Linked DNA regions of Drosophila melanogaster. The protein of the gene in region 2 interacts with the protein of the main gene of each other region in a pairwise test. Each region holds a gene or a part of one and is shown on either strand. Other genes may lie near its edges. The genes, in order: CG6325, 128up and Sr-CI.

Evidence for each region.
Region 1: the proteins of 128up (region 2) and CG6325 interact in a two-hybrid assay, tested with the Drosophila melanogaster proteins (one large-scale study listed by BioGRID).
Region 3: the proteins of 128up (region 2) and Sr-CI interact in a two-hybrid assay, tested with the Drosophila melanogaster proteins (one large-scale study listed by BioGRID).

Annotation. Positions count from the first base shown.
Region 1 is NT_033777.3:10,400,991-10,410,178, reverse strand, and holds CG6325 (uncharacterized protein), read left to right. Parts: upstream 1-2,893; 5' UTR 2,894-3,161; coding exon 3,162-3,329; intron 3,330-3,711; coding exon 3,712-3,833; intron 3,834-3,894; coding exon 3,895-4,008; intron 4,009-4,067; coding exon 4,068-4,312; intron 4,313-4,374; coding exon 4,375-5,030; intron 5,031-5,093; coding exon 5,094-5,793; intron 5,794-5,857; coding exon 5,858-6,531; 3' UTR 6,532-7,212; downstream 7,213-9,188. Other genes in the region: Irp-1B (iron regulatory protein 1B), read left to right, coding at 1-462, 522-1,240, 1,304-1,414; mthl11 (methuselah-like 11), read right to left, coding at 7,225-7,318, 7,378-7,572, 7,626-7,794, 7,854-8,114, 8,182-8,566, 8,634-9,128.
Region 2 is NT_033778.4:12,034,156-12,040,521, forward strand, and holds 128up (upstream of RpIII128), read left to right. Parts: upstream 1-3,142; 5' UTR 3,143-3,267; coding exon 3,268-3,309; intron 3,310-3,441; coding exon 3,442-3,562; intron 3,563-3,615; coding exon 3,616-4,456; intron 4,457-4,521; coding exon 4,522-4,624; 3' UTR 4,625-4,696; downstream 4,697-6,366. Other genes in the region: CG8321 (uncharacterized protein), read left to right, coding at 1-277, 1,333-1,555, 1,621-1,723; CG43191 (uncharacterized protein), read right to left, coding at 2,074-2,228, 2,284-2,412, 2,522-2,932, 2,998-3,010; Polr3B (RNA polymerase III subunit B), read left to right, coding at 4,964-5,846, 5,898-6,366. UniProt on the Drosophila melanogaster protein: Catalyzes the conversion of GTP to GDP through hydrolysis of the gamma-phosphate bond in GTP. Dfd/deformed is required to activate 128up in maxillary segment cells.
Region 3 is NT_033779.5:4,119,254-4,126,441, forward strand, and holds Sr-CI (scavenger receptor class C, type I), read left to right. Parts: upstream 1-2,448; 5' UTR 2,449-2,506; coding exon 2,507-2,726; intron 2,727-2,792; coding exon 2,793-3,330; intron 3,331-3,455; coding exon 3,456-4,225; intron 4,226-4,284; coding exon 4,285-4,646; 3' UTR 4,647-4,900; downstream 4,901-7,188. Other genes in the region: Sr-CIII (scavenger receptor class C, type III), read left to right, coding at 1,110-1,344, 1,402-1,942, 2,003-2,189.

The DNA.
Region 1 (9,188 bases), on a different chromosome or scaffold from region 2:
GTCTGAGCATCCTGCCCTATATCAAGACCTCGCTGTCGCCTGGATCCGGTGTGGTTACCTACTACCTGAAAGAGTCCGGAGTCATTCCCTATCTGGAGAAGTTGGGCTTCGATATTGTGGGCTATGGATGCATGACCTGCATTGGTAACTCCGGTCCTCTCGAGGAGAATGTGGTGAACACCATCGAGAAGAACGGCCTCGTGTGTGCTGGAGTTTTGTCCGGAAACCGAAACTTCGAGGGTCGCATCCATCCCAACACCAGGGCCAACTATCTGGCCAGTCCTCTGTTGGTGATCGCATATGCCATCGCAGGACGCGTGGACATCGACTTCGAGAAGGAACCTCTGGGAGTGGATGCCAATGGCAAGAATGTGTTCTTGCAGGACATCTGGCCAACGCGATCGGAGATACAGGAAGTGGAGAACAAGCATGTAATCCCCGCCATGTTCCAGGAGGTGTACAGTGAGTACTTCGTGCGCCATCTTTATTTGAGTTTGGTTTAATTTCACTTCCATCTGCAGGCAAAATTGAGCTGGGCTCCCAGGATTGGCAGACTCTGCAGGTGTCCGAGGGCAAGCTCTTCTCCTGGAGTGCCGATTCCACCTACATTAAGCGACCACCCTTCTTCGAGGGCATGACCAGAGATCTTCCCAAGCTGCAGAGCATTCAGAAGGCACGTTGCCTGCTCTTCCTAGGCGATTCCGTCACCACGGATCACATCTCGCCGGCTGGATCTATTGCTAGAACCTCGCCTGCTGCCCGATTCTTGTCCGAGCGGAACATCACACCCCGTGACTTCAACTCGTACGGATCGCGTCGTGGCAACGATGCCATCATGTCGCGCGGCACCTTCGCCAACATTCGGTTGGTCAACAAACTGGTCGAAAAGACAGGACCCCGCACCGTGCACATTCCCAGCCAGGAAGAGCTGGATATCTTCGATGCCGCCGAGCGGTACCGCGAGGAGGGTACTCCTCTGGTCCTCGTTGTAGGCAAGGACTACGGCAGCGGAAGCTCTCGGGATTGGGCCGCCAAGGGTCCCTTCCTGCTGGGCGTCAAGGCGGTGATCGCGGAGTCCTACGAGCGCATTCATCGTTCCAACCTGGTGGGCATGGGCATCATTCCGCTGCAATTCCTGCCGGGACAGAGTGCCGAGACATTGAACCTGACTGGCCGGGAGGTGTACAACATCGCCCTGCCAGAGAGCGGTTTAAAGCCGGGCCAGAAGATCCAAGTGGAGGTAGGCTATTGGAAACCTGGTGCTAGCGATTTTGGTTATATTAATGAACTATCTTTTTTCAAGGCTGATGGCACCGTCTTTGAGACTATTCTGCGCTTCGACACTGAGGTGGACATCACCTACTACAAGAATGGTGGAATCCTCAACTACATGATTCGCAAAATGCTCTCTTAAGCAACTCATCTTATTTTGTTTTTATATATGTATATTCCACATGCATTTCTACACTGTAAATTGTAGTTCCCTAAGTTTTAAATTGTGGTGGTGCTTCCCCAACCTGGTCAAACCAATAAAGTAAGCCCTTATTCTTGGTATCTAATTAAATTGGGTGTACTTTGTTTTTCTGGGAAATGAAAGATTGATTTCAATGAAAATATTTTAACTTATTTCGTTTTATGACAAAAGAATTTAGTTTACAATATATTTATCCACCAACCTACTTTATTTCACTTTTGTACTTACTTTTCTGATTAAGCTTAAAAACTTGATCCAAGAAATTCAAATGTTTTATATACAGATTTTTTTATATATTGGTATGATTTAAGGTTTCCTGTTGAATAAATTTCGCTCTCATGAGATAAACAAAGCCCAGTGATGCTTGAAGTGTGACAAAACTGAACTGTGTGTATCCCATAAACTGAAACCGAAGGACCTTTTCATCCAGGATTCACGCAAGGCACTCGGATACTCGCATTCGGATCTAGGCTGTTTACAAAAGAGCTATCTAAAAGAAACAGCAACTGTGATATGTGAAAAATTCTTGGGTAAAATCACGGCTACTATTTCCTTAGATAACTCGATATAAATTCAGGACGCGATCGAAGTTCCCGAGGCAATTGTGGTCAACAATTATGTATGATTTTAACTGATTCCTCGGGGTATCGAAGTACCTCGATTTACCAACCGCGACACGTACTATTCCAGAACTAAAACCTGAGAGTTAGCCATCCAGCTCTTATAAGCACGGTGCAATGGCCGCTGCCAGCGCATCAGGTTTCCTGGTCGATCGGTTCTGATCCGAATTTCCATTGGCTAAATTTGCTGATCCCGGCAATTGGCGTTCTGTTTTGCTGGCATGCTCGACATTTTTATGCCGAATTACCAAAAATTTTGAAGCCCGCTGCTGGGTTTCTTCATGACTGCACTTTGTTCAGCTCTAAAACCCGGCGCACTGAACCCGGCATCAGTTTTGCCGGTTATAGGATCGGCTCTTAAGGGGTTGCGGTGGGGCCACGGGTGGCTTCCGCAAACGAATTGACCCACAAATACGCCCTGGGGTCAATGAACAAATAGTCACGTTGTGGGATTCAAGAACATGCATATTTTGGGTCATTTGCATGAGCTCATTTTAATTTTTCCACCTCAATATGCTGATTTGTCATCGAAACTAAACCAATGTAGTTACAAATTAAAATATAGAACATTATACAAGAATTCCCTAAATTCGTTATGTACCGTACCAATGGAATGTGTTTATTCACTTACATACAAACAAAAGTTAAATTTAATTCATAGCTACAGAAACTAGCATTTGAACAAACCGCCCTTGAAGCTCTATCTATCGATAGTTCAATTACGATTCTTGATTTTGTTCTTATCGATAACTAATGCTACTGGCATTGTTGTTGATAGTATCGAACCAACATAGATTTTTGTTCCAGCTCTAGCGGTTGCAGTGAGATTTAGCAATTCGGTTTATTTATAACGAAAAGGCGATGATGCTGTAATATTTGGACCCTCAAGCGGTGGTTGAAAAGGTCCAGAGTCCGATGAGCACCACTGGCGCTACACGCCAGTCGATCAGAGGCGCTAGGACTCAGGACACAGCCGCATTTCGGCCGGAGCCGGAGGAACACGGACGATATTCAGGAGACGAGACAGTAGGAGGAATAAATTAAGTCTGATTTTTAACGATTTGGATATGGAGACTGACTACCAGAACTACGTGGAGTCGCTGTCGGGTGTGTCCTCCGACGAGGACGACTTCTCCACGGTGGACAGCTCGGACGAGTCTTCGGAAGAGCCAGTTCCCACGCCATCATCAATCCCAAGGACACGAAATCTGGTGCAGATGCTCTACGACAGAGAGGTGGGTCCAGTTGAAAGATTATATGCAATCTAATCTGCCCTCTAATTTATTTTAGAGTATTTTAATCATTTTGATCAGACAATAAAATTATGCAAAACCTATAGGGGGTTAACTTTTCAGTTCAAGGTCTACCCTCTCATTTTAAGGAAAAATTGTAGTTTTTGTTTGACTGATTTGCAATGAAAGTGCATGAGTGCATGAGAGTTCAATTCTCTAAAGTTAACTTTATAAATTAATATATAAAGGATTTAATTTAAGAAACATCAGAATTACAAAGATACATGCGCATGACTAACTTTTGATAGTTTTACTAATATTAGGAACAGAGCTATACTTAGCCAAAGGATGTACGAATTAAACATACTTTCAATTCTCTTCTCAGCGCACTGGACACTTCTCAGGCTCCTCCAGGGCTGGCCAAAAGCAACAGCTTCCTTACGTCAGAGTGCCAAATAGGTTAAAGTTATATCTTAAGGATGTTATGGCCAGCAATTTGATGGAGGGGTAAGATATTCGAATAGTCATATTTTTCAATCTTCTGTTCATAACCTGAATATCCATGCAGACACATTTTCATGGGTCTAACTGCCTGCGGCCAGTACATGCTAAGCCATCGGGTGATGTGCAACGACAGCTCTTCGCTGAACCACTACTCCTTTAACATGGGCTACAAATACACGTGAGATCCATATTTTTCAACATATCCTATCATAAGGTTAATAATAATTTTCTCCAAAGTCTGTACTTCTGGCTTTTCCAACCGCACAAGAGGCTGCGCCACTTTTTCTCGCGTCGCCTCTTTGACGATCATGTGGTGGACAACATAAAGACTGTAACCATGACGCAGTGGAAAAATGCGCAGCACCAAATCCTAGTTGTCCACGGCGCAGCCACGGAGGAGGGTGAAGATAGCTATATCACATATGTCAAAGTTCCTAAACTGGGTTGCTTGGAGTGCAAGAAACTTAATGACGACGGTCCATGTAGGTGTTAGAAATTAAAACTTTTAGATTGCCTGTGATCCTAAGCCCTTTTCCGCCATTAGATTCCTTTTACAATGCGCACTGCCTGACCTGTCACTTAACAGTGCACACAAAATACTCCTCGACTGAAACTGATCCGGCTTTCGATCCGAAAATAAATCTGCTTTGCCCGGAGCGCATTCTGATTATCTCCAATGGATTTATGCACATGCTGCGCATCGATATGGACACGCCGGCCGTGACCTCGGGGTACCTTCCCCAGCAGCAGAGCCTTATCTTGCCCAGTCTTCAAGCGCAACCTCAATCGCAATCTTTCTTGCTACCCAGATCGATTTTGGCCAGCGAAGAGGATCGCTCCTCAGCTGCATTCACAGGTTCCGGATCGGAGGCAGAGTCTTTAAATGAACAGAGTGTTGTGGCCCGCATAATTGCCGACTTTAGCGACATTGAAACCGAGCAGCGCTCTAGTCAACCCGGTCATAACCAAAATGAGTCGCAGTCCGGGAGCAACGTTTACTCTTCGCCAAAGGCATACGATAAGCTAATTTTCACGCCACATTGCAGTCCAACTCTGGTTACGGGCCCTAATAGTATGACTCTGCCGGAGACCACGCTGCCGGTCACAAAACCACTTGTCAACGAATCTAGTCCGCCACGCAGGCGCAACCATCGGATAGTCACTAAGTTCCGAAATGGCATTACAACCATTGATTTGCAGGTGGGTTTCATTTAAAGAAATTTGCCTAAGTACACCGGATAATACATTTTACTTTTTTCTTAGAGCCCTCCCATTGCCAATTCGATGACGGACAAATCGAATGCATATGAATTCTCAGAGGACAACGAGAAGTACGAAAAGATATCCACTTTCCGAAAGCGACGTTTGGCGGAAAAGAAATATGAGTTCTCGGAAGACAACTCGGAGAATATCATACCTTTTACCAAGGTGCGATTGGCGGGTAGGGCTTTCAACGCCTCCACTGCCAGCACAACGTCTCGCAGCTTCCATCGTTTTTCGCCCACGGCACACTTCTTTCACAACTCGCCCTGTGCTTCGCCCTCCTCTTCGCCACATCCCTCCCAGCCGGCACAGACGCCTCCGCATCTGGGATTCCGTTCACCACCGTCCAGTTCCATGCTAATGCGTTCGCCAAGTCGGAATGCAAACTCGGCTCAGATGTTTAACCAGAAATCGCCACCATTATCCCAGGCCACACAGCAAATGCTTAGTTACAAGCCAGTGGGTCCACTGGGAGCACTTTCTCCACTCCAGATGTCGTTGGCCAAGCGTTTCGATATGGGTGGCTCCATGTCCCCAAACGCTGGATTGAGCTTCCTGTCACCGCGACGCGATGAGCCACGTATTGTGGAGATGCCTGTGCAGGGCGGTGTAATGCCAGAGAAGCCTGTGTGCACAAAGAAGCTAAGAAGACGCTATGTAGAGGAGGACGATGCAACCTCCGTCATCACCAGCGAAGAGGGTAAAAGAATTCTTTTTAAAGTATAGTATATAATAATGTCAATTGGAATCTGTTCTCATATCAGACGACTGCATATCACCGGGCTATCACACATCGCTGCCAATGGAAGTGCACGGCTCATGTTACTCGGAGATGCAAATGATTTCACAGGCGTCGTATCATCGGCTGCGCTGTAGTAGCGTCGTAATCACCCAGCACTCGTTTGATCTGGAGACCTTCACGTACTACGTGATCAGCCTTCTGTGCCAGAAGCATCAGAAGATCTACAACGTGTTCTACGACTGGGCGTATGAGGTGATCAGCGTGTGTCCACTTAGTCAGACTATCGTCTGCATGCTGACGGCCCAATTCTCGGCGCGGGATCAGCCGCTGGCGATTTGCATACACTGCACTGGCCGAATGGACTGTGTTTTTCACAACAGGCAGTACGAAAGCCGCATCTTGTTCACCTGGAATATGGAGAGCGGTCAATGGCTGGTGCTCGATTATGGTGAACTTAAAGAGGTGCACGAGCAGTTCAACCCACTAAAGCGGCTTGGCAAGGCACGGCTCACGTTTGCCCAGATGGCCAAGAAGATGGGTAAGGAGATGGCCGTCAGCTTGGGTCTAAACCTGCCCGACTACACCTCTAATCTGCGCGTGCTCAACTCGGATATCCGAAAGTCCAAGATGTTCATCAGTGATCTCGACAACATGGTAGAGTTCCACTTAAAGCGCACACACCACGAGACACTGTGAGCGTATTTTTCAGTTTGACCAAATACATAGACAGCCTGGTAAAAAAAAATAATGTTATAGAAAAGCTGCAAATATTTAAACACTACCAATCTTTAAAACCCTTAAAGCAAACTTCTTGGTAATTCGAAATATTACAGTTTTTACATAAGGGAAACCATACATTTAAGCAGTTTTTAGTTTGCAAAACTCGATAAGGTTGCGTGCATCTAGTTCAGTTCTAAACACAAACAACGTGTGCTGTATTTAGTATTTAGTTACCTATACCTTACTTAGTGCAACGAAACGCTTTTCAAAAACATGAAACGCGTCCTTATTTCGACTGAAGTCATTTAAGTAATCTACAACTTAGTTTTAAGATACGGAGCTTGACTTCTAACCTGCTCATACCTCCACATGCATACATATACGTACATATACTTTTGATATTCGAAATTTCGATTCAACTATTAGATTTAATATTAGTTAGCAATATCTTTTGAACTGCGGTACGAGTAATTTACGTACCGATTGATTTAGTTCCATGCTTCACTGAAGGAGCATGTGGAAAATATACATATGTAATCAAGCCTAGGAACTACGTTTCAAGATATTAAACATAAGAAATACAATTCAAGATATTGTTCAGGAAGTCTCCAGTCCTCTAAAGTAATGAAGTGATGGCAAATAAAAGTCAATTCAGTTACTTAATTTTTCTCATTTCCCTAATTCTACGTCGGCCATTTTCTCAGATTCCACAGGACGGCTCGTATTGGTCAATTCTAAGGAAGTAATATTTCGGTTTTGGATGCTGAAAGAATGCAAATGATCATTTGAAAATCTTAGGGTGTACTGTCACAGAAAACCCACCGCTTGCGTATTAGCCTAAACATTTCGTGGTTGCAGAATGTAGCTACAAATATTATTATACCCTGACTGCAGTTTATGTAATCGTTTAGAATAATTAAGGGCTTCCACATATTCTCCATCTCGCATATAAAGGCAATAATTTCGAGAAACCAACTTCCGCCCATTATGATAAACAGGCGAAAATATATTCGATAGCTGGAAAAAGGGTAATAAGTATGTTTTATCAGGAACAATATATTGCTTGGTACTTGGCATGGTTCCTGGAAAGCTTTTGCGGTTCGCTGTTATTTAGCACTTTCTGATTTTGTTTGTTCTCCACGTAAATATATCGGGTTGTTAGAAAAAAACTTGCACAGTTTAAAATTATTAGGATTGCCAGTGGGGCGTAGAAATAAAACGTTGCGGACCATCCATTGGCTGAAAATAATTTAATATACTCATAATCAAAAAGTATAGTAGACAGTTTTTTAACTTACTAAATATCCAACAAGAAAATACTCCTACTGCAGGATTATACGGGTTATCTAAATTTGTTTCAACAAATTGATCCACTAAAAAAATGATGCACGTTAAAAGTCCAGCAGAGCTCCACACGATAATATTGTAGTTAAAGAAACTGCTCCTTTTGTTCTTGTAGAAGACCTGGAACTTTCGCATGGCGAATCTTCTCCAAACATCGAAACTTATGACGGAAAGCCAGAGAAAAGTGGCCATTACAGTGAAGTAGCCAGCATATCCTGCAATTCTCAGCCAGTATTATAGATATATATTTAATATAGTGATGAAAGAACTTCATTTGGTTACCGGTGAGATAGCAAATTGGGGTCTTCAGCTCAAATATTCCAAACAGGCTGATGACATTCAGTAAAAAAGTGATGGCCAAGCAGATGAAGTACAGATTGCAGCACTTGCCATGGAGCGATCTGAATTTTGGCAGCCAAAGGTACGCCGCAATTGTAATGACCATAAAGAAGACGGAGCTGAACTTGACTGGAATGGAAGCATTCGATAATCTGGATTTCCGCACACATTCAAACCTACCATAAGCCATTTTCATAGATGGTTTTTGAATGCAGTTGAAGGCGACAATGAGGCTGTAGTTCTTACCGGTACTTGTCGGATTGGGCTGCAGGCAAAACTCCTGCTTTGAAAGATATCGCTGATCGAAGTGCCGGAATAACGATCCATTCTGAAAGTATTGGTTCGAGTGTATTAAATATTATGATACTTAATATTTGATGTTTTGAGTAACCCACTTCATATAGTGACCACATATCGTATGTGGATGTCTCCGCATCCAATGAATAGTGTCTCTCGCAGGGAAGTGGCAGATCCTGCTGCACGACCATGTCATTTAAGACATGTTTCTTTATCACCGATCCGTTGAGTTGTGTTATGTCCAGGGTGTATTCGTAGGTAAGGTTTTCATATACGTCTTGGGAGCACAAGTTGCCTGCCATTAGCTTTTTGTGGTGGCAACAGAACCGGATGCATGTCTTCAGTTTGCAGACACAACCACGAATGTGTTTGGGAACCGAAACTCTATCGCCATCGTAATCAATCTCGTAGTCATACTTTCCGGTTAGTTTGGCGGGAATAACGACATCCTCGTATCTATACGATCCATTACATAGTTTTTCACTTTCCCTTAACTGAACCGTATCGAAAAAGTCGCAGTTTGGAATATCTCTGGACCGAACACCAATCACAAGGATACCTAAGAGTAAGTACTCAACTCTGAACATTCCCATTGTGATTTACTTTAATTTAACGAGTAAGTTCTCCGCTCTGCCGACTTTTTAGTGTGATAG
Region 2 (6,366 bases):
GTCGGCTGTGACGTCACGCATCGCCAGCAGGAGAAAAACAAAACCAATGGGATTTTCTCAACGGCAGTCAGAAGTAAAAAAAACGGGCAACCGAACGGACGGATCTACACCTCCACGCCGAAGACCTCGCATCCGAAACTTGAGCACTACGTAGGTGTTGCTAAACCCTCGGAAAAGGGGCGAGTGGGAGTGGTGACCGCCCTCGATCCGCTGATCAAAAAGGTGGCCCTTCTCTTTGGGACTCTTATCATTGGCTACAAAAGCGTCATCTTAACGAGTAAGTGTGCCAAGCTGGGGGCTAAACGTAAATATATTGTGGGTTTATTGGATTTCCATTTGTTTATTTCTGTATATCCCCGGTGTGGCGGGGGTGGGAATTCAAGGTTGCAATTGTCGGTTGCGTCGTCTTTACTCGCACTTTGTTTATATTCTCGCGTTTATAAATAGTTGAAGTTCGTGTGATCTCATAGCGGTGGTGTTTGTTCCCCCTGCATAAGCCGCCGAATAGCGAAAAAACGTCTATATAAGGAAGGCAAATTGTTTGATGCGCATTAGCCGTCTCATTTGCATACAAACGTACTGAAGACCTTAGAAAAATCGTCAAAGAGTGATTAGTTGCTTCATCTTTGAGGCAAAATGCCATTAGTTAGTTAATTGTTTGCCCAGCGGCTATTAGTTATTCATCTACGCTTAGCTTAACGGTATTTAGCACTGGGCTTTCGTCACGCGACACATACATGTATATTCTAATGTATGTAATATAAACATTAGAAGGTACCGCTAGAAGGCCCAGGAAAATAACGAATTTTACATTTCTGACGATATAGCAATCTTTATTTGCTGCAGGTTTTGCATTAGGGTGGCTCCAAAAAAAGTGCGACAAAAAATTTAATAAAGTTTAACAAAGCTCAAAGAAAAAACACATGTTTAATCAACTATTTGTTAAATAATTCAAACATATAAATTTGATATAAGCAGAAAACAAATTTTATACATTGTCGAGAAAAGAAATAATTAAACCAATACAAACGAATATTTATTTCCAATCTTTCCCATCGGTCCAAATCTATAAAAAGCGCAACCTTGCTATTTATGGTGTAACGAATGGGGTTTCTGTACATTTTTGCAAATTTCTTTGCCCACTAATTCTTTCCATTTAGCCAAATTGCTTTGATTCCCTCATAGCGTACATATCTGACTAATAAATTTGAACCACCCTAGTTATAAACCCAACATTTTGACGTGTTTATCACGCTAGGACTGATAACAGTGAAATCAATAGAACGACACTCAAAATGAGATACTAACGAGCTTTGGGCGTTCTCTTTGCAGTGCCATACATCACGGGCGATTCCATCCAGGTGCTGAGCCACCAGGTGCAGAGTAGGTGGAACGAGACCTTGGTGTGGGCCACCAGGCACCAGCTGGGCTCCAGGCTGAGTCCCCTGCTGTGTGGCCTTCTAGTGGCAGCTTTCGCGTACGGAATCGTGTACTTGGACAGCGCGGTGCCCGGCGTAAATCCCCCCTCGCCCTTTACGCCGCGTTCCAAGAAACGGTAAGCTCTGGGGAAATCACCTTTAATTATTCATTATAACATGGAGTCTTTACTTCAATTTGCAGTTTCCGCGAGGAGAAGACTGCCTCGATGCACTTGGGCTACTTGTGCGCCCTGTTCTGCGGATTTCTGGTCACGGTCTTCATGTACTTCGACTTGTACTCGTAGAACTGAATACCCATTTCCTTCCAATTAGTTCAATAAGTTCACCAGTATTAGACTTTATACGCCCACTTCGGAATTTGTATTTGTTGTAGTCCTTGAAACTGTGCAATGCTCCTGGAGAGAATCGTCAGGGGGCATTTTGAAGCTAACTTATTTCCTAGGTATATTAATTATAAGTTACTAACTCTATAAATTATTCATGATTTGTAAACTACAAAAGTACAAAATGAAACATTTCACTGTTGATTGGAGGCCAGGATCGAAAAGCTTAGGCTAGCATATTTATACCTTGTGAAAAGTACACTATCGCCTGGCCTAAAAATCTCAAGAAAACTGTATCCTTAAAAAATAAATTACTTTTGCATAGTGTTTTGCAATAAAATATACGAGGTAACATTTTCAATGCGCAGAAATTGCTGTTGCCAGTCAATGTCGCTTACCTGGTCAATCTTAAATGTTTTCAAGCGATTTTCGCCAATAAACTGGCCCACGAGATGGACAAAGCAGCCTTTTAATGAATAAAACTTTGGTTATGTAATGGTTATCAGTTTCCTGCATTTTACCTGGGCTCCAAGTACTCATAACGCCTTCGAAATCGTAGTAAATTCCCTGAAGGACGGGCCCCGATTCTTTGTTTCGCACGAGCAAGGTGTGTTCTCCACGTTTTCCCACAATGATCCGTAGCAATTTTCCTGAAAAACGATAATTAATGATTTAACTTGCCAAATTTAGCGATATTAATCATTCTGTTTAAAATGTATATAGTAATTTGATTTTGAATGTATTTCAGTTCAGACCCACCGTAAACATTCCAAATAGCATTAATTTCCGGATACATTTTTTGAGTTTTAAGGCAGAAATCCACGCGACCAATTAAACTAATTAAGTTTCGTCCTGGCTTCAACATCGGGGAGCTTGGCAACTCCGCTGATTCCTTTTTGGCTGACATTTCGCAACTGGATTTTTCCAGAATAATCGGTGATGGAACGTTCTCCTTTTTGGGCTGAACTTTCACAGCTTCCTCCACGAATCCATCGTATATTAGCTTATTATCCTTACGACAGACAGTTAGTTTTGTTTGCCGCAATTGGGTGCTATTTTTGCGCAAAAGTTCAGCGGCCGTTGGAAAACTGCGATTCAATTGCGAGACGTTGTTGGTCAGTTGGCTCTTAAATTGAGCTTGGTTGTTACCCAGAGGGGTGCGCGGTTTAACTGAAACAATGTTAATTTTTTGTTAATTTATAAATAGTTCTCAGTATTTAATTGCGGAACTTAACCTTTAGCAAACATTCTTGCAGCCATCAAATTGTAACGGCTATATTCCAATCAGCCTGACCATTTTAATTTTGTCTAAGAATACTTTTACGATTCGTTAAGTGTTGGCTAACGTTGGGAATCGACCACATTACTGAACAAATCGATTGTATCGAATACATATCGATTGCACCTCCAACTGTCCACGCGAGAGTTTTATATATTTTATTTTTACATGCATATTTGTTGATAACTGGGGTTTTCTGTGAACCGCGTTTAACTCTCAGCCAGCCATGAGCACAATATTGGAGAAAATCTCGGCCATCGAGTCGGAGGTGAGTGGAACTTGGAGTACCTGCCGATCTTACAGAAACTAACCTGTCTCGCATCCATTTACCCCGCGGATTCCCCCCTGGATTCTATCTAAATCACCGGGTTGTTGGACCACCTTCTCAACTGAATCCTAGATGGCCCGAACCCAAAAGAACAAGGCCACCTCGGCCCATTTGGGTCTACTGAAGGCGAAGCTGGCTAAGCTGCGACGCGAACTGATTTCCCCCAAAGGAGGCGGCGGCGGAACCGGCGAAGGTAGGCTCTTGGATATATAATTCAGGCAATCACTAAACATTATGTATTTCCAGCTGGCTTCGAGGTGGCCAAGACTGGAGATGCCCGGGTGGGATTCGTAGGGTTTCCTTCTGTGGGTAAATCCACACTGCTCTCCAACTTGGCTGGCGTTTACTCCGAGGTGGCGGCATACGAATTCACAACGTTGACCACTGTGCCGGGATGCATTAAGTACAAGGGCGCTAAGATCCAGCTGCTGGACTTGCCCGGTATCATTGAGGGCGCTAAGGATGGCAAGGGTCGAGGTCGTCAGGTGATTGCTGTCGCTCGCACCTGTAACCTCATTTTCATGGTGCTGGATTGCCTGAAACCGCTTGGCCACAAGAAACTCCTCGAGCATGAATTGGAGGGCTTCGGCATCCGGCTTAACAAGAAACCACCAAATATCTACTACAAGCGGAAGGACAAGGGTGGCATCAATCTGAACAGCATGGTTCCGCAGTCCGAGTTGGACACGGATCTGGTGAAGACCATTCTATCCGAGTACAAGATCCACAATGCGGACATCACCCTGAGATACGACGCCACTAGTGACGACCTCATTGACGTTATCGAGGGCAACCGCATCTACATACCCTGCATATATCTGCTGAACAAGATCGATCAGATCTCCATCGAGGAGCTGGACGTCATCTACAAGATCCCGCATTGCGTGCCCATCTCGGCCCATCACCACTGGAACTTTGACGATCTGCTGGAGCTGATGTGGGAATACCTGCGACTGCAGCGCATCTACACCAAGCCCAAGGGCCAGCTGCCCGATTACAACTCGCCCGTGGTACTCCACAACGAGCGCACCAGCATTGAGGATTTCTGCAACAAGCTGCATCGCTCCATTGCCAAGGAATTTAAATAGTGAGTGCGCTTCACTTTCCCTCTGTTCCCTTGGTTATAATAACATTTATGTATTTCCTTCGTAGTGCGCTGGTTTGGGGCTCATCTGTGAAGCATCAGCCACAGAAGGTGGGCATCGAACACGTTCTCAACGACGAGGATGTGGTCCAGATTGTGAAGAAGGTTTAGACTCTGTGCAACGATAACACTTTGATTACTTGATGGCATTTTTTATTCGAAAATAAAAAACGAATGTGCTTTATGTGTGCGTGGATTTAAGGCGGCTTAAGTTTAAGAAAACCCTCTAATTTTTATTTTATCAAATTTTTTAATTGGCGCGCACAGAGGTAATTTAAATAAATTAAAGCTAGATTTAGCGGGAATTAATTTCACTGCCAGCTCTATGGGAATAACTTTGCTATCACTTGCCCAAGTATATCGATAACCGATAGGTAAAGAAACCGCATATCGAAGAACCTCATAGCACGCTGTTTTGTTGACAAACTTAAATTAAATTATTATAACGAAATGGTGGAGCTAAAGATGGGCGATCACAACGTGGAGGCCACCACCTGGGATCCCGGCGACAGCAAGGACTGGTCGGTGCCCATTAAGCCGCTAACGGAGAAGTGGAAATTGGTGCCGGCATTCTTGCAAGTAAAAGGATTAGTGAAGCAGCACATTGATTCCTTCAATCACTTCATCAACGTGGACATAAAAAAGATTGTGAAGGCTAACGAGCTGGTTACCAGTGGAGCTGATCCTTTGTTTTACCTAAAGTACTTGGATGTGCGGGTGGGCAAGCCGGACATCGACGATGGCTTCAACATCACCAAAGCGACCACACCGCACGAATGCCGTCTGAGGGACACCACGTACTCCGCCCCCATCACCGTGGACATCGAGTACACGAGGGGAACCCAGCGGATCAAGCGGAATAATTTGCTCATCGGAAGGATGCCCCTCATGCTGCGCTGCTCCAATTGCGCCCTTACCGGCAAGTCGGAGTTCGAGCTGTCCAAACTGAATGAGTGTCCACTAGATCCTGGCGGCTACTTTGTGGTGCGAGGTCAGGAGAAGGTTATCCTCATTCAGGAGCAGCTGTCATGGAACAAGATGCTCACCGAGGACTTCAACGGTGTGGTGCAATGCCAGGTTACCTCCTCCACACACGAAAAGAAGTCACGTACTTTGGTGTTGAGCAAGCATGGAAAGTACTACCTCAAGCACAACTCGATGACGGACGACATACCCATTGTGGTGATCTTTAAAGCTCTGGGCGTAGTTTCCGATCAGGAAATTCAATCGCTAATTGGCATTGACAGCAAATCGCAGAATAGATTCGGTGCCTCTCTAATAGACGCCTACAACCTGAAGGTCTTCACACAGCAAAGGGCTTTGGAGTACATGGGTAGGTTTGTTTACCCTAGTTAAATTTTGTTCTTAAAATACCTTTTTTTAGGCTCCAAGTTGGTGGTCAAGCGTTTTCAGAGTGCCACCACAAAAACGCCATCGGAAGAGGCCCGTGAGCTGCTGTTAACTACCATTTTGGCGCATGTGCCTGTGGACAACTTTAACTTGCAAATGAAGGCCATCTATGTATCCATGATGGTGCGTCGTGTTATGGCCGCCGAGCTGGACAAAACGCTCTTTGACGACCGCGATTACTACGGCAACAAGCGACTGGAGCTGGCAGGTTCTTTGCTCTCCATGATGTTCGAGGATCTGTTCAAGCGCATGAACTGGGAGCTTAAGACCATTGCGGACAAAAATATACCCAAGGTGAAGGCGGCGCAGTTCGATGTGGTCAAGCACATGAGGGCGGCACAAATCACAGCGGGACTGGAGTCTGCTATCAGTTCCGGCAACTGGACGATCAAGAGATTTAAGATGGAAAGAGCTGGCGTAACGCAGGTTCTGTCCCGTTTGAG
Region 3 (7,188 bases), on a different chromosome or scaffold from region 2:
CTGCCTAACATTTTTCAGTGCACTCAGAATTATGTTCGCTTTTAAGAGTCCCACAGTTAGAAACCTCCCTTAAGTTCCATCCCTTTCGTTTTCCTTTGCACTGATTGTAATTATGTATGAAATTTGAATTGCTTACATTGAATCGGGAAATCGGAGAAAGGGAATTCGCTACACTTTCCGTTGCATTTCGCCGGACACGTGGCAGTTCCTGATCCCCGGTCACGTGTCCTTCGGCACCCCAACCCTACCATTCCCATTCCGCCCATTCCGCCCCAATCCGCGCTCATCGGAAGTGCCAATAAGTAGTTGTCAATATTGACTGATTATCTCGACACTACGAAAGTGGGGGGGAGATTTGGAAAGAGATGCGGAGAGAGCGACCGTCATGATTGCGAGTTGTTTGAGTCTTAAGCGGAAGTAAACATAAATCACAGCAAGAAGCGCCACCCGAACCCTCGACAATCATTTTCCAGGACCTTCCAACAGATGCCCATTTATTTAAGCTTGCAGGCGACAGGAAGAAGATGCTTCTATTTAGTTCCATCTCCATGGAATCCAATTCCGACCGGAGATGCGAATAATTGCATTTGAATGGCGTCCCAGGACAAAACGATAAAGCCAGTTTAGTGGTGTTATTTGGGGATGAACTAAACGAATAATTTATCATTCACTGATAATAAGATATCGCCCAAGTTCAACCGATCTACGGATTTCCCATACCTTTTTCGGAACAATACAATTTATCAGCCCTTTTGCAATATCGTGCAGCATTTCTACAAGTATTCAAGTGTACATTTCATTTTATTCAAACTAACATATGGCAAGACCCCACCTACTATTTAGAAACATTTGGAACTTACCGTATCATTTCACATGTTCTGAAAGAAAAGAGAAGTGTTTATTTATTATAAAATAAAAGTGTATAAAGTAAGCAGCGGTTGGTTCAATATTTGTAGAAGTAAATATAATGTGGAAATACGCAAAAAGTAAACGATAAGATTTTTTGAGATTTTTGGTACAAAAAAGTTGATAGCAGATAAGGAAACGTAAAAATTTGTATTCAAAAGCTTTACTCAGTTCAGTCGTTATTTAGCATCCAAATTTATACAATGGCAATGGTTTCTGTAGAAATTTTGTGGGCACTGAGACTATTTATGATATATATGGTGATCCAATCGATTGCCAGTTGTGAGCCCGACATTTTGTTGCGCAACGGAAAAGTTACAGAGTTATCTAGTTGGCTCCTAGGTGATAGCATCAAGTTCGAGTGCAATCCCGGATTTTCTTTGCAGGGAAAGACGTGGCACCTTGGCAATGGAAATATGATGAAGCGTTACTGCGCCAGTGAGTTAAAATGAGTAATAAAACTTAAAATATGTATATATAATGTAAAACTTTCAGAAGCGGGTTGCAATGATATTGAGAAACAAGCCAACGGAACCATTTTGACGGCCACGGATGGCTTAAAGGCGGAAATCGAATGCGATGATGAATTTGTTCTTAGCGGAAATTCCTTTACCTACTGCAATGGAACGAAGTGGATCATCAAGCTGGGAACCTGTCAGTTGGCCAACAGCGTCGGTGACCATTCCTGTGACTTCGAACGTGAGGATATGTGCGGTTGGAGGGCCAGCAAAGCCATACCCCAACCATGGAAGCGAATAAGTGCTGCGGCAGATTTTCTCAAAGAAAAGTGCCTGCAACAGGATCACACATTCCAGAGCGACGTCGAAGGACACTTTATTCGCTTGCAATCGCAGGTACACGCTTCCAGAACCTACCACTTCATATCGCCGATCTATCCCAGGAACCTCACGGTGGGCCATTCCTTATGGTTTCAGTTCGAACTCTTTATGTTTGGTTCGGAAGTAAGAAACCTGACGATCTCCGTGAAACCCTCTTCAATGGCGGTCGAGGATATGTGGAATAGTTTCAGAAATATGTAAGCGATCTATCCAAATCACTTTAAAATGCTTTAAATACATCTTATGTTATTCTCCAGCTGCACCAAACTCACCGTGTCTGGCGATCAAGGCCCAAACTGGAAAAGCCAGTCCATCTCCATCGACGAGATGGAGTCGGACTTCCAGGTGGTCTTCACAGTCGTGGACCCAAGTTCTCTCCATGGAGACATTGGTATCGACGATGTAAAATTTATAAAATCTGAAACCAATGAACCACATTCTTAACAAGGACGAGTTGTAAAATCTATTATCATTTTGGGCTTATAAGATTTACCCATAGTATAAGTTTAAAAAACGTTTATAAGTGCAGCGCAAGAAAATAAGACGCGATTTAAATCTATATTTATATATATTTGTATAAAATTAAGAGTGAATTAAGAATGAACAATATAGCGGTTATCTGCTCTTCGACTTCAACCATCTTGTAATTGTATGAGTCCCGCTCTTCGTTGCTCCGAGTGATGTCGAGCTGCAATCGGACTCTCAGTCTTTTGACAGCCTTCGACCGTATCTATACATTAAGTTCGTAATATCTCTGCGGAATGGAATTTTTCTGGACTCTGGCTGTGATTGTGATATATTGTATAGGTCACATTCATGGACGATGTGAAAGATCAATAGATTTGGATAATGGAAGTATAAATTATCGACAGAGAAATGTGGTGAGATTCAGATGCAATCGCGGCTACACTTTGCAGGGAACAGTAATGCAAACTTGCGATCGAGATGGTCGCCTTCGAGGCGAAAAACCATTCTGTGCCAGTAAGAGCCACAAAATCGATATAATCTAATGGTTTTACTGAGTTTCTTGCATTTTTTCAACATAAGGTAGGGGATGTGCGAGGCCCGAGGATCCGGAGAACGGACACGTCGAAAATCTTTCCCTAAGGGCGGATGTCGTGTGCCACGATGGCTATGTCTTGGTCGGTGGTCGCACTGCCTACTGCGATGGAGAAAGATGGAGCACCCAGCTGGGATCGTGTCGAAGGAGCAACCACACAAGAGATCATTCTTGCGATTTCGAGAGCGAGGATCAGTGCGGTTGGGAGGCGGAGACAACCTTCCGACGACCCTGGAAGCGAGTCAGCACGGTATCCGATATTCACTCCCTAAGAACGGGACCCCGCCACGATCACACGTTTAAAAACGAATCCGGTGGTCATTACATGCGCATGGAAACCCAAATGGGGGCTTATGGAAGCTACCATCTGCTATCGCCGATCTATCCCAGATCCCTCACCCTGAAGACCGCCTGCTGCTTTCGATTCCACTACTTCATGTTTGGCGCTGGTGTGGATAATCTGGTGGTGTCCGTTAAACCCGTTTCGATGCCAATGGCAACCATGTGGAATAGGTTCAGAGCCAAGTGAGTTTTGCCGGAGCGGAAGAGGTTTTAGATTAAAGGTCGCAGGCAATGAGATAAAAGTGGCAAAAAATTCCGAAAGCATGGCAACAATTATACTGATTGCTTCTGTTTCTGTTTTATCTTAGTTGCAGCAAATTTGAGATATCTGGTCAGCAGGGAACCCAGTGGCTAGAGCACACGATCAGCATTGACGAGATGCAAGAGGACTTCCAGGTGATATTCACGGCAACGGATGCAAGATCCCAATTCGGAGATATTGCCATCGATGATGTAAAGCTAATGACAGGCAGTGAGTGTGGCACAAACGGATTTAGCACCACCACAGAACCAACGGCTCCGACAGGCAGCAACGAGCAACCACTGGTCTACGATATGATGAGTTGTTCAGGTCGATGCGGAACATCAATCTCGGCCTCCAATATAACCAACAATGGTATAGTCATGGGATGTGGGTGTAATGACGAGTGCCTTTCGGATGAGACTTGTTGCCTAAACTATTTGGAGGAGTGCACAAAGGAGCTGCTCACCACGACCGAGGATGATATTAGTTCCCTGCCCCCAACGGTCACATCAACAAGCACAAGCACTACGAGGAAGTCAACGACAACAACAACCACAAGCACAACTACTACAAGTACAACAACAACTAAAAGGCCAACCACAACCACAACAACAACAAAGGCCACAACTACAAAGCGAACAACAACCACTAAAAAACCGACAACAACTTCAACAACGCCGAAGCCAACAACAACGACTTCAACCACACCAAAGTCTACAACTTCTACAACGTCTACAACTTCAACAACACCAACGACAACAACTACAATAAATGTGTTTACAACAAAGAAAACAACAATAATGATCCCTACTTCCAGTACCGAAAAGACTACAGGTAAGACTTAAGCCTTTTTTTTATGATTGCGTTAAAAGAAAATTAATATGATAACCTAGGCATCAACACCACAATGAAAACACGGAAGCGCATCACTTGGAACGTTGATCCTCAGGACATCGAGGGTCACATGGACACGAGCGGAAGTACCCCCAATCCAGCTTTAGTAGTACTTTACCTGCTCCTCGCCATTGTTCTGGTGGTAGTTCTGGCCAACGTCGTTAATCGCTGGATAATACCAATCACTGGATCAAAGACCAGCAGCGAAAAGGCTGTGAGATTCAAGAAGGCATTCGATAGTCTGAAGAAGCAACGGAAAAGAAACAGCATGGATGATCAGCCGTTATGCGACTCCGATAACGACGATGTAGAGTATTTCGAGGAAATGGGCGTGGACATACGACATAGGACCGATCTATGAGGGTAATCCCCAGTGATACCAAAACAAACGCTTAGGACTGTGCCTATTGTATAGGATGTTTCTAAATGTGTATGCAAGAATCGAATAAAAGAAAATATGCAACGCCCACTTTCCGGATAAATTGCAACGATAATTTTGTGCTCACATTCATGACTTTATTGCTTTACACTTTTGGTGCGCTAAACAATTGTTTGTAAATAAAATGTGCCAAACAACTGATACGAGATCCCTTACAGAACATATGCCCTTGGAACACCAAATACTAAAGAATTGCGTCATTTGTTGATTTGAATGGGTAGTGGATGTCTTATCGACCAAGACGTCGTGCTGTAAACTCTTGACACTTATGTCGGTTTGCGTTTAAAAATGAAATGAATTATAGTATAAGAATAGGGAGAAAGCAGATTGTATACAAAAGCGCTCTAGTTTTGAATTCAAAACCTTTTTTTAAAGTGATAAACTTCAGTGTATGTTATTCATGATAAAACGCAGCATTGTTGCTCAATGCGCCATTTAATTTTTGTTAAAAGTGCCTTCAAGGCCTTCGATCCCCCTATCGGACAAACCCCTAAGAATAACTATGTGAATAACCCAATCAAATTAGGTTATATTTTGTTTGCGAAAAGGGCAAGAAAATTGAATTCGCGAAAGGCAGGTGGGAAGTAGCTGATATATGTATGAGGCCGGAAAGTTAACTCCTCGAATATGAATCTCTTTTGGGCGCATTTAACGAGCATTGAAGGAGTTCCGCACTTTCCCCGATCTCCATCCATAATCAAATCTTGTGGGGAGTGTCAGTTACTAGGAAATGCCCTCCGGCTCTAAGTTCCTGCGGATTCTGATGCTGCTGTCTGTCAGTCACCCCATACCGTCCACTTTCACCGACACCCCCCCCCCCCCACCTTCGATTCCGGGTGTTGCACGTGTCCTGCCAGCGGCTGTTGCAACCACCGTCTGCCATCGTGCAAAAAGAAAACGCTGGAGACCCAAGGACCCAATAACCTAACCGAAAACCCAAGCCAAAGCAACCACCAACAGAGTTTTCCGAGTTTTCCGGGGCAGGCTCGTGTTTTAACAGCGGCTTTCGGTTGTGATTTACTGGCAGCTTAGCGTCTGGCACGGGACCAGTTACCAGTAACCAGACAACCGCTATCACACCCCTTCCAATGCACTGCACGAAATAGTTGATACTGAGAAAAAATAGAATAAAACCTTCAACGTAAACTTCTTTTTTCTTTATGATGAAACGTGCAATAACTAGATTATCTTTGGTTTCCAATTAATTTTTCCCATTTTTTTTTATTTTTTTATATAAATTATAATCGTTTTGTTCTCCGTGTAAGAACGATTTGTGCGGCGCTCAGCAGAATTATTTTTCTGGGCATTTTATGCAATTATAGCTCCTGGCCAGACGATTCCCAGACCGAAAACCCCAACGCAAGCCAACGAAATAGCTAGAGTTTGCAGGCTCAACAAAATTTCACACAAGATTTTCCAGCTTTGAGTTTTCCGCAGCGTTTTGCATGCACCCTTGTCCGATATTTAGGATTTTCCCCTCTAAAGCTCAATTTTTTCATGACTTCCTGTTTGCCATTGTGATTTAGCGCCCACCGTCGCTCTCTATCGACTTCTCACACATCATTTGGCGGCGAAAATTTTCCTGTTTTTTTTTTTCCCCGTACGCTTCGGGTTTTAATTAAAAAGGCATTTTGATGGCCCAGACAGGGGGCGTGCCTCGAGTTGCTGTTGCCGCATTTTCACCCTAATGCTCATTGAGGCCCTAATTAAATGGTAAGTAAGTCGGCTTATCTGCAAACTGGTGGGGTTAAGGATGGTTGAGGAATCGTTGGGCTGTACACGAGTATATTTCGTTCGGCTGCATTGCCTGTGGAGCATCGTTAATTTTCAGTGGACAAATTTTTGCATGGAAAATGGCGTGGTAATGGGCGCTTCAAGGGGCTCACCTTATCTGCCGCATTCCGAACAAGCCCACACACATTGCCATACAAAGGGGACGCACCCTTGACACCCTGTTTTTTTTTTTTTTTTTTGTTTTTCATCCCAAGTCCCTAGGCCTCTTGCTATCCCGTTCTTATCGCGGCAATAAATCGCATTAATTTATTGTTGTCACCGCATATTTGACGGTACGGTGGAAATCCTCACCCACTCAGACAATTTTCCCCTTAATGGGCTTGTCCTGTAACTGATGGAAATGTTAGGGTTTTGGGGCGAAACGACAGCAACTGCAATATTATTGTTTTCAAGTTTGCACCTTCGTCGGTGGGTTGGTCCGCATGAGAAATGCAACATGGGGAGAATAGGCAATTCAAAGAGGTTGGTAACAAGAATTATAATTATACTTTAAAAACAAAGTTTATGATTAAGTTTATCCCAGATTAATACCTCATATTTGCCATATTTTCTTGGTAGTATTTTGAAATTAGTCTTCGCAACAACCCATTTATATAAGTTTAAGATTCCTGCGCACTTTATTGTAAGTGCTTCGATGGCAGGGTATATATCATTCCGCAATACGTCCCAG